Lepisosteus oculatus: one gene and its partners. The protein of the gene in region 1 interacts with the protein of each later gene in a pairwise test. Links are inferred from orthologs where the notes say so. Each region holds a gene or a part of one and is shown in the gene's direction. Other genes may lie near its edges.

What was found.
Region 2: the proteins of tnika (region 1) and pafah1b1a interact in a two-hybrid assay, tested with the Homo sapiens proteins (2 studies listed by BioGRID and IntAct). The link is inferred for Lepisosteus oculatus from reciprocal best matches to the Homo sapiens genes TNIK and PAFAH1B1.
Region 3: the proteins of tnika (region 1) and hars interact in a two-hybrid assay, tested with the Homo sapiens proteins (2 studies listed by BioGRID and IntAct). The link is inferred for Lepisosteus oculatus from reciprocal best matches to the Homo sapiens genes TNIK and HARS1.

The regions. Positions count from the first base shown.
Region 1 is NC_090708.1:14,164,888-14,168,640, reverse strand, and holds the start of tnika (TRAF2 and NCK-interacting protein kinase), read left to right. Parts: upstream 1-1,191; 5' UTR 1,192-1,251; coding exon 1,252-1,274; intron 1,275-1,466; coding exon 1,467-1,533; intron 1,534-3,753. UniProt on the Homo sapiens protein: Serine/threonine kinase that acts as an essential activator of the Wnt signaling pathway. Recruited to promoters of Wnt target genes and required to activate their expression. May act by phosphorylating TCF4/TCF7L2.
Region 2 is NC_090721.1:6,261,666-6,265,418, reverse strand, and holds the start of pafah1b1a (lissencephaly-1 homolog A), read left to right. Parts: upstream 1-1,277; 5' UTR 1,278-1,616; intron 1,617-2,932; exon of another isoform or gene 2,933-3,021; intron 3,022-3,753. UniProt on the Homo sapiens protein: Regulatory subunit (beta subunit) of the cytosolic type I platelet-activating factor (PAF) acetylhydrolase (PAF-AH (I)), an enzyme that catalyzes the hydrolyze of the acetyl group at the sn-2 position of PAF and its analogs and participates in PAF inactivation.
Region 3 is NC_090706.1:32,650,140-32,653,892, forward strand, and holds the start of hars (histidine--tRNA ligase), read left to right. Parts: upstream 1-1,601; intron 1,602-2,525; 5' UTR 2,526-2,745; coding exon 2,746-2,856; intron 2,857-3,748; coding exon 3,749-3,753. UniProt on the Homo sapiens protein: Catalyzes the ATP-dependent ligation of histidine to the 3'-end of its cognate tRNA, via the formation of an aminoacyl-adenylate intermediate (His-AMP). Plays a role in axon guidance.

The DNA.
Region 1 (3,753 bases):
TTGAAAAGACCAACAGTCTGTGTAATTCTCAAGTCCTTCCATCAGGTCTGTCAAGGATATGAAAATGGCTTTCCTTAGTTAATAAAACATTCCAGCACTCCATCTCTTCCACCCCAGATGTTTTAAGAACCACAGGACTTGGCTATTACCATTAACATGCTACTGTAAGACAGACAATAAGAGTCATGCTGCTGATGCTCGGGTTATTTATTCCTAGAATTTCTAAAAGTGTATTCAGTGCAGTCTGAAACGTATTGCACAGAGCAATCACCCTCTGCTTTCCATGATGTGGTCTGTCCCTCACACAGCCAGTTTCCTGATTTGTCTGGACTAATATGCTGATATATCTCATTCTCCAGGCAACGTCTCTCACAGATTGGTGGCTTTCAATCATGTACATACTGTAGCAACCAGGACAACTTCATAACTTCCAAGAGGGTTCTGATCACATCTTTCATGGTTTTTACACTGCATAAACTGTTGCTTTTTTGAATGCCTAATTATACAAATGCATAGTAAAGTCACACGAACCACTGAGGATCCAGTGTTTTAATTAAATCAAATGACTTGTGGTCAGTATTTTCGTATCCCAAGGAGCAACATTTCTCAAACAATCAACAAGCCTATCTACTCAACGTTTCAATGAAAAGTGCTTTAAGTGTGGCTCCAATGAGCTCGTGGTGAAAAGTATATGCGTCAGGTCGTATGTAAGATCACTTTATTGGCCATATACAATTTATTGTATTAGGATTGGAAATGAATGGCACAGTTGATACCTAATTGCTTAAATAAGACAGGTAAGGTAAGTGGAGTTTTTGCTTTCAATTTAAGACTATGTTTGAATGCAAGAACCGTTTCATTAAGGCGGTGCGGTTTACAGTCCAACTGAAATATTTTAGCGCTCAATTCAGTCTTTTAGTTAGCACATCAGCGGCATATAGAAAGGAGTTAGACCCTGACGGATCAGTTAATGATATTTAAAAGCATCCCGGACTGTATCGTTATTGTATGCTTGCAGCTCTGCAGTTACCTGTTATCAGAAAATCTTGCTTGTTAAAACAGTGCCCTGCTTTGAAAATACTCGCTCAGAAGGAAAGAATGGGCGGCTGGAAACAATCCGACCGCCCCTTCTCTCTGACCACTCCCGGGAAGCCTCTGATTGACAGTATTTTGCAGATCTGCTATCTGTGCGTTCGCTCTGTTTTGTTGTAGCTTACGGTTCGTGTGGACGCCGTGTATACGGTGCTAAGCATGTCCTCATTACATACATCAAGGTATCACCTCTAGCACTGTGCTGCTTGTACATATTATCCGTATTTCCTGATATCAGCAGGGATTTTTATTTTACATTTTTTATTTTTTTAAGGAAAACGGTCGGGACCTTGCGTTTGCCACAAACTTAGCAGGACACCGCACAGAAAGGATTTTGTCTCCTTTCATTTATCTTTCTTGTTTAATTTCATTAGTGAAATAAACATGGCGAGCGATTCTCCAGCCAGAAGCTTGGATGAAATAGACCTTTCAGCTTTGAGGGTAAGTTTGTATAAGTATTGGATGTTAATTGTCAGTGAATTTTTTGCTATCGAGACGGCGAAGAAAATGGGGCTGATGAGAACGCTTTGCACCTGATCAAGCTCTTGTGAATAATACGCACAGCCAGAGATGACACCAACTTGAACTGATGTAACGGGCGACGATGTCCTCACAATTTATCACAATTGCACCTTTGCTTTTAATGTAGTACGAGCTTGGAGTAAAATGAAACATATTTCTCGCTGAATTAATATTTAAATGCTGCTGAGTACCTTTTATACAATAGGGTTTTCAGGCTGCTGGATTGTACTCGTCCACATAAAGAAACACACACCCCAGAAATGCTGTGCTTGTGTTTTCTCCCTATATAGCCCTATTTGACAGACATTACAAAAAAAAATCAGTCAAGTGCAGTACATTCAAGCGGATCACGGAGAGTTGTGAAAATCCTTTTTAAAACAATTTTCTGAATTCTAGACAGAGTGGACATAGACTAAAAATCCAAAATTCTTATGTAATCCGGGGTTTTTATTTGCTGTAACACTGCAGAACATTTAACAGAAAACCACGGCTAATAAAAGACAAGAAAATCCCACCTTTTTTTATAATGTCACAATTGTGATTTGTGGTGATGTCAAATTATAATGCCTTTACGAAGGGAAAATATAAAATGTTTACCACCCAATAATCGCGGCATGAGATGTAGTTTAGAGCCTCTCAGTTTTACAGCGGATCACCTAATATACCATATTTGTTTGCCAAGCAAACATATACAGTATATCTTCATGTACTGTACGATGTTTTTAGCATTTCACGGTATGGAGCGTTTTTCAGTTTAATACCCAGCTTCATGCTGCCAGCATTAGAGCGAAAATGATAACTGAATATGGCTCGGTTTGTGCACAATGCTAGATGTTTGGTGGCGATTCTTTTGTCTCAATTTTTCTATTAATATACTGTATGGTAACGCTGTGGGCTTTGCTGCTAGCTTCTGTTTTTGCCTATCGCAAGGTGTATTTGTTACCTTATTGTCACCATTTGTGTCAAGTTGAACGTGTCCAACTAAATCCTGTGGAGTGCTCATTTTCAAAATGAGTTATTATGCGATGTAACCTTACCTGCTTTAATGTGGTTTTGATTCGTTAGTGCCTTAAGTTAATTTATGCATAATATCATCATTATAAGCAGTGCTAAAACAGATCATCTTAACAATGTTAATCCTGCAGCATTTCTGTTAATTTAATTTAAGGGCACATAAAGACATGGGACATATCTTTGAGATATATAACATATTGTGGGATATTGCCTCCCATTTTAATTTTTACGAGTTTTTTAATTCTCTGTAAAATGCTGATAGATTCATCCGTATTACCTACAATGCTTACTCACTGAAAACATATTTTTTCCATTTATGATTTAGACGTTTCCCTTAATTTCATGGTTCATAATCAAATACATATATTTAAGATTACCCGGAATGTAGAGTTTCAACAATGTTATGTATTTTGGTATTGGAATGTCTATTAGCAGCTTTGCAGAGATGGACTACATTTTGAATGTTGAGTTCTACTTGAACCATACAGCCTAAAATCCAGGCAACAGAATAGTTATTTATAATAGGCAAATCATTTAGCAGTCACGTGTCCTACATATACACGAATGAAGATGTAATTGACTGTAACTTGCATAAGTGTGTTTTCTGTTATTCAAGAAGGCAGTCCTCCTGTGTGTAGTACTGTATGTAACAATGTATTTCTACACCATGTGAGCTACTGTACATATGTGATACCTCTGCACAAGCAAAAAATTCACTTTTGATTGCTGCAGAATATTTGTTTCACAAAGTCTTCATTTGTAATAGTGCTACAGGTCTGAACTCACTTTGGTATGGGAAATGTAGGAAACCTTTTTTAAAATAAAAACAAAAAACAGGACCAGTGATGTGTGTTGAGTTGTTTAGGATAATTAAGATGCTCTACAGGAGATAATGGCTGGATGCAATAGCTGCCTGTGTGCACTTGTACAAATGTTGTAGATTTTTTTGCTTCTTATCTGTTATAGCTTCACTGCAAATGGCACTCAGTTATTGTCTATTGGCACTGCACCTATACCATGAACAGTATATGTTTTATATTCCCACAGCAATAGGGAGGTGTAACTGGTAGGGTTCAATAAAACTTTGCTCCACGGCAAAATAGACCAGGGATACATTGTAAAAAC
Region 2 (3,753 bases), on another chromosome or scaffold:
AAACTGCCTGCCGTCTGCTGCGGCCGGACACGCACTGATGCCCCTGACGGCAGGATGCCAGGGAGCAAGTACCCTGGTGCACGTGCTTTGACTTCTCGGGCCAAGGGGTCACCGTGTCCCTCTTCTCTGCGGCTAGCTGGATCTCATTTGTTTTCTTTGTCCATGTATGCTTTTGTATTCAAATGAGCAAATTAAAAAAAGACTATTAAAGAGGAATAGAGTTGTGATTTTTTTTTTTTACTGAAGACTTGGGATTGTCTTTATACCTGTGGATGATATGCTAGTTGTGGCACATGGTATCACTGATGGATCCGTGTGTGATTACCTGTGTGTAGCACAGTATAGTGCTTACCTGAATAGCACCTGTGCCACAGCTTTGTGCTGCTGGGAGCTTGCCCTGTACAAACCTCATTGAATAGGTCTTCAGCACCTAACCCCATCCTTCCTATATCCTACAGACAACAGGATAGTAGACAAGACGTTAATCTGTGTATTGCAGGTTCAGCCTGTTTTGGGGTTGGTCTTTTTACACAAATCCTTCTGTTCCCGCCATTAAGCGATGACCAATGGCATTCCTTATTAAAGCCACTTCCAAATAACAAAGATGGCTTTGCATTATCGCCGCTGGAAGTAATATTCTCTGTCTAGCCCGGGTACAGGTGTGCCTTTGTATAGCAGCCCTGGGATGCAAACTTTGCTTCATGTGTGGGGCTTTGCTGTGGAAGAAAGCAGAAGGAAGGTGCATTTCTGCAAGTGGAAGAACACAAGATTAGACATTAATTTGATAGGTTCTCTTTACAATAACAGTTGCTAAAATGTGACTGATTCATCTTCATAAGCTAAACCAGCAACTTAATTTTTCTGGAAGGAAGGTACTTGCTTTAAAGACCCAGAAGGGAAATTTACTTTCCAAGGCAGTTAAAAGACATAACACGATACATTTAACACGACATGAACCCATTAAGAAATAAGAAACAGACATGTATGATGGAAGAAATAAAATACATAAAGTATAAATAACTGCGACCCTTGCTGAGGTTCCCTCCGGCTGCTGAAGATGCATTTCTCTGCTGCAGCAGTGAAAGTATATCGAAGTTACTTGTCAGTGATAAAGTGATCTGAACGGGTCATGCGTACATAGGTAATAGAGATATATTCATTGATGACAATTAGCGCTGTCAGACCTGACGTCTTCAAACCCCCCCTTTCCCCCCCTACAGCCGGAAAGTCATGCGCACAATATCCTACACCCTACGGTCCCACAGCACAGCAGTTTGATGACGTAAGGGACGTCGGGGCGCGCTCGGGCGTGAACAAGGAAGAGGACGTTCGATGCGCGTGCCCGCGAAAAACGAACGACGCTGCTGAAGTGCGGGGGAGGAGGTGGAGGGGGGGGGGCGTGCGCGCCTCCGTCAAACAGACTGCGAACGCGAGTCCGTGCGCGTGCCCTGCGTCCGAAGGCGAATGCGGTACAGAAAACAAGGATCGGAGGAGAGACAAGGAGATAGACATAGCCAGTGAAATCCGAAGTCCCTCGCTTTGTACCGAAAAATACTCCCCATCTTGTGCTTTATGAGTACCTGACCCGGCGAAGGAGAAGGAGGAAAGACAATACGGTAAGATTTGTGCGGTTTAACTTCCGGTGTTGATTTTGTGTTTAAGAAAACAAGGTGGTAAAAATGACGATGTGGCTGCAATTTTTTTGCGCCTCCTTTCTGTGTCTCAAAATGGCGGCCAGGCCGTTAGAGCAACAGCAAAGGCAGAAAAATGAAAAAAAAAAATAACAGTCATTAAAACAGTCATTTTTACAAGTTGTCCTTCCACTGACTTGCGTTTTTTTTCAGCTCGACTGGTATTTTACGGAGTCTTTTAACCAAAGACGTGAGTTTGTGCCTCCTGTTTATGGTTTTCTATGCTTTTTTAAAAAAAATATTCTGTGACAGCAGAAAGTATATTCGAATTTGAGGGCTTCGGTAAGAGGGGTGGGAACTTGCAATCGATGAGGACACATATTTAGAAGTTTGTGGTTGGTCTTTTTTAAAATGTAGGTCATTTTCTGGTGGCTTTCGTGAGGATGCATTCTTAATTGATTTGCGAATTAGCCCAACTTCATCAGCAGGGCTGAAGGGAGGCGTTTAAATATCTTCTGATTTGGTGTAACCTTGCAGATGGCTCAGATGGGAAGGTGATTTGATGTTGTCATTTTGCTTCTGGTTGAAGGAATGCAGCGTTTTCAAAGACCTTCAAACGCTGTTAACAAATTCACGTAGTGTTCAGAGTTTGGTTAGTAAAAAAAAAAAGAGAACGAAGGGCTTATTTTTGATCGAAATGATAGGTCTGTTAGAAAGTGTTTTGAATACCGGCGTGGCATGTGTACAGTCCAGCGAAAATCGCCATCCTGTCTGCTTTTACACCTCTCCCAGACCAACCAGTACAAGCGATGGGTTTCTCACAAAATAGGCTTAATTGTTTTGCCCATTTGTAATGATAGAAACCTGTTACGTTGTCCCGGGTAACCTCCTAGCTAAAAGATCTGCCCTGCGTTCGCCCGGCTTTAAAAACAGGTTACATTTTTCCGACCTTGAAATGATCTTTTTGCCCATGTTGCTCGGTCCTTTAATCGTAACTTTTCATTTCCATCTGCTGCGCGGAGAATTTTGTATTCTTTCGAATTATTTTGGGGGTGCTGCTTGAAGGATTTGTGTGCGGAAGGGTGCGTTTTTTTCCCTAATATTCATCTGAATTCGGGCTGCCTGAATGCCTGTATTGTTTTGGCTGGTGGCTTCTATCGACGCACACTTTTATTTTAACTGCAACCCAACGCCGGACCAACCCAACGGGCATCTTCAATTATGTGCTGCTGCATTTTGCAATGACACTTGTGACGTTAACAGTTCAGTTTTGGACGCGTAATATGACTTCAGTTGAAGATGAGGGTGGAAAAAAAGCCTTGGGTTTGGCAGGGATTCACAAGTGGTTTGGAGGAAAGGAGCCGGGACAAGCCGGTCTGTTAAGACACCGGTATGGAGCTAAAACGTGATTTCTGTCTGTCGGTCTGGGGAGGGATACAATCGCTTCTTTTTCACTGTTGGGGGAGGGGATAGATTGTTGTTTTTTTTTGGTGGAGATACCTTTGACGATCCTTTTTTCTCTCCCGGTCTGCCATGATCAACACGCTCAACACCGGCATCGGGGGGCAGGGTGGAGCAAGAGACGAGAGCGATCGCCGGAAAAAAAAAAATCAAAAGCTGAATGAGTAAGAAGAAGATGGGGGTGGGGGGGAGTTGCCGGTTGGTTCGGTCAGTCCGATTTTTTTTTTTGGGGGGGGGGGGCTGCTTTCTTTCCGTTGTGTTATTTGCTGGTTCGCAATCGGCGTGATCCGGCTGTGCGCGGCCCTCATGATGTCTGCCCCTTGTCAGCTCTGGGTGGAGTAAGGAGGCGGCAGTTCCAGCGAGAGGGAAAGCAGAAAAACAGGGCTTGGATTTTTTTTTCCCTTCCTTCCCTCCCTCCCTGCCTGCCTGCCTGCCTGCCTTGCTTTTACCGCAGGGTGGATCTCCCAACTTGCGACGCCTTGCCCTGAAAGTGACAAGTCACCGCTCCTTAAGATTTTATTTGATTTTTTTTTAGGGGGGGGGGAGGGATTTTGGCGTTTGGGGCGCCGGTTTCGCCGTGTCCTTGCTGTAAACCGCGAACCCGTTGCTATGCGCTTCCCAGTTCAGTCCCTTTATTTCTCCGTGACGACGCCAGCGCTCC
Region 3 (3,753 bases), on another chromosome or scaffold:
GTTACAAATGTTACTTGCATTTGTTTTTGTTGGTCCAGTCAACAAATTATTTCACATCTCTTTTCTTGTAAAATGGATCGGAGTTGAGAATTAGCCTGGAAGCTTTACCTTTTTCTTCAGCACTGCCCTGTTTTCTGCTGTGTCTACATTGTCTGTGCACATCTTATCTGGGACACTAGCATGTGCCCTGTGAGAAGACAAATCACCAACTGTAATTTTTTTACGTTCTATATTAATATATCAATGTATCTGTTTCTCAGTAAGACTTCGAAGTCTTGCACATGTTGAAATCCTTAAAATTTATACATCATGTATTGGTATAGGAAAGACAAATCATGATTAATCCATGCAATCATATGAAGCAGGATTGTATCTTGAGTGGAATGCCTTTCTGTCACATGGAAACACATGAACACAAACAATTTACAGATTCCAATTATCCAGTATGACTCTGGAAGATGAGATAAAATGAGCACTTCGACAATCTGTCATATATACTGGGAGTAGGGGGCAGATGTACACACTTCACACAGAAAACCTAAATTAAGAAGTGAAAGGGGTCAGCATTAACCTCTGTCACTGTGCTGCTCTCAATTGTGTTTTAGTAATCCTGAATAAAAATACCATTAAAGAATGTAAGAATGTGCCATTTTGCCCACATAGCACAATATATTGCCATCTGCTGTTCAGAGTAAATAAAAGCAAGCCATTACTAGCAGACTCAATCCCATCTTTTTGCTTCACAGCCAACTAGTTTTAAAGTTTTAATAACTTACTTGAGATATAAAGAGTTCACAGGGCCTATTTTCATATACTAATCTGTAATACCTGACAGTTCGCGAATACTCTCAGATGAGTCTTACCACAGAAAATGAACAAAAACCGAACCTGATATACTGTTTTCACATTAGCATATAAATAAAATGTAATTCCTAACAAGATAAAAAATACATTGAAATCTTAGAAAACAAATCTTAAAATAAAAAGGCTACATATATTGCTTTACAGTTGTGAATACAAACAACCCAATATATCTACAGCAGAAACATCTGTTAAGTTCGAAAATCACTTGGCTCTGACGATGTCAGTTTAAACCTCAGAACCTTATCTATTACATCTTAAGTTCTGAGTAATGATAATGTATAATTTCTCACATGCGTTTCCATGACAACACATATTCATCGCTGTTAAAATCAGATTTTACTTGTTATATACCCTTCAGGCAGACGGAAAAACAAGTTTTTCTCCGTTAAACAGCCTGTATTATTACTCATAGAGGAAGGTGACACGATAAATGCGTTGCAGTATCTTTCTCAACGCAAAGTGCAAATGCACCAAAACACGTGAAAAGAAATTCGCCGTGGTTGTTGCTAGCGTCAAATTTTAAACTATGCAGGAGCCGGGCCGGCGGAAACGCAAAGAGCGCTCTGTCAATGCGGACGTGCTCCCTGCGCGTTTGCGTCAGTGCGCGGACTGCAATACAGTACACGGCACCGGCTTAGGAAGGCACCATGGCGGACAAGGCACAGACACAAGAGGCTATTAAAAAGCAAGGAGAGGTTGTCAGGAAATTAAAAGAGCAAAAAGCTAGCAAGGACCAGGTCAGTATGGGCTCTTCAGACCTATTATTTTATTATAGAAACCACATTTCGTAACATTAATTTTGATTAAGCTTAGTGAAGCCAGCAAAGGAAGGGGTGGGTTCAACGCTGTCATAGAATAGAGAGAAAAATGAAAGGCCTGGGTACTTGAACCACACGGTAGGACCGTAAAAGTCTAATTAAACACAATTAACGGTGCAGCGTGCACATAGCTAATTGTGCTCTAATACGCGTCATTGCAATCTCCGTAAATAAGGCGCTCACGGTGTTTTTAGAAACAATGTTCATGCCTGGTTTGAGAAGAATTGCCGCAAAGTCCTTCTCACATAGAACTGCTCTGCGTCCATTATAAAGAGACATGTATTCATATTTGTCGCTGAATTGAAACCTTTCGAGGCTTGTGCGGGGTAGTTCCTTGCGGTACAGTAGTGCATCCCTTTTTGCCCGGCTGATGCAATCAGCTTGTAAGGTCCGTGGCTGCTTTGTCCTACATAGAAACTGAAAGTTAACATTGCATATAAATAAATTAAAAAACGAGTTCCTTATGCTTCAAAGCACGGGTATACAGGCTATACATTTTATTTTTTTTGTCGGGTGGGATCCGGTGAGGGAGTTCATTTTACCTTTATTTTGGCAGAGCCTGACAATATTACGTATGTGCAGTAACTGCTGGGGTGCCTATGGGCTGAACTGTCGTAGCCCGTTAGTATTGTAAGAAACTTTGGCGGTCTGCTCGTTTTACATAGAAGGCTTCTGCCCTGGGTCTGGTGTTTGGGTGCATATTGCAGTGTTATCCGAGTGACCCCTCATTAAGCACACCGTTCTGTTGAAGTGTTCCACTGTCCTGTGCGAGTCGGTTGATTTTGACTGTTGCTCCCCCTCCATGTTTTGCCTCCACGGTGATTCTGCGGACTCGCGTGCTAGGGTTGCTGACCAGTTTTCTCCTGTTCTCCCTGCACGTGCCACCCGGGCCTCCGCACCGACTGCCCTCTGCGCCCGGCCGTCGCCCTCGCATAAACCGTATTCCGGACCTCTTTTTGTTTTTCCTGGACGACACTTTCACTTTCCTGGGGGAAACGCCTGGGATGAATTAACGCGGGGGATTATTTTTTTTTTCTGGCCCTCAACTCATTTCCGGACGACCATGAACAAATTGGGGGCGTTTTCTGTTCGACTCTGGTCGGGACCTCTTGTTCACCGGTGTGGTCCGTTCCCTCGTGTTCTGCGTGCGGTGTCCTGCAACCCTAACACACAGGTATGCTGATGGGGGGGGAGGGGATACACATTATAGAAACAGCACTCCACGGTGGCACAGTGGTAAGCTTTGCTGCCCCACAGCCCTGGGGCCCTGGTTTCAGTTCCAGACCCAAGGTGCTGTCTGTGTGGAGTTTGCATGTTCTCCCTGTGTTTGTGTGGTTTACCCCTAGGTCGAATGGCTTCCTCCCATAGTCCAAAAACATATTGGTAATTAATTGGCTTATGGGAGTACTGGCCCTAGGTGTGCATGTCTTTGTGTCCTGTCCAGGGTATATTCTGGCTTGTCCCTTTTACCTGCTGAGATAGGCTTTCTCTTCCCTGCTACCCCGAATTGGAAGCAATGGTTAAAAACTGTCTGGAGAGATGACCTCATGACACCCTTTTTACTCTTTTGCAATGCCCTGTACATATTGTAGGACCATTTCATCCAGTATATGATTTTGATAGTAAACATTCAAATGAATTAGAATCAGATTAATAAGTTGCATTGTTCAGTGTCAACTTAGCGTTTGAGCTATCAGGCAGAAACATTCAGTAGCAGTTAAGGTTCTGGACTCTGGACCGGAGAGCTGAGATCCCAGCTGGGACAGTGCTGGTACTCTTGATCAGGGTCCTCTGATCGCTCCTGTAAGTGCCCTGCTGTATAAATGTGTCTCCAGCCTGTCACCTGGCAGAACAGATAACATTATCTTGGTGCTTTTTTCTTGTTTTCTCTATCTGTCTGGTTGTATACTGGAGCCCAAGAAGACTCTGGTAGAATCACAAGTCTTGCCACATGTCATACCCAGTGTTTTGTATCATTGTGTAGTGTATGAGTGTCGTTAGGTCTTGTCTATACTATATTATAAAGATTAGTCTTTTCATTTTAAAACCATTGATGTCTTATGCAGATTGA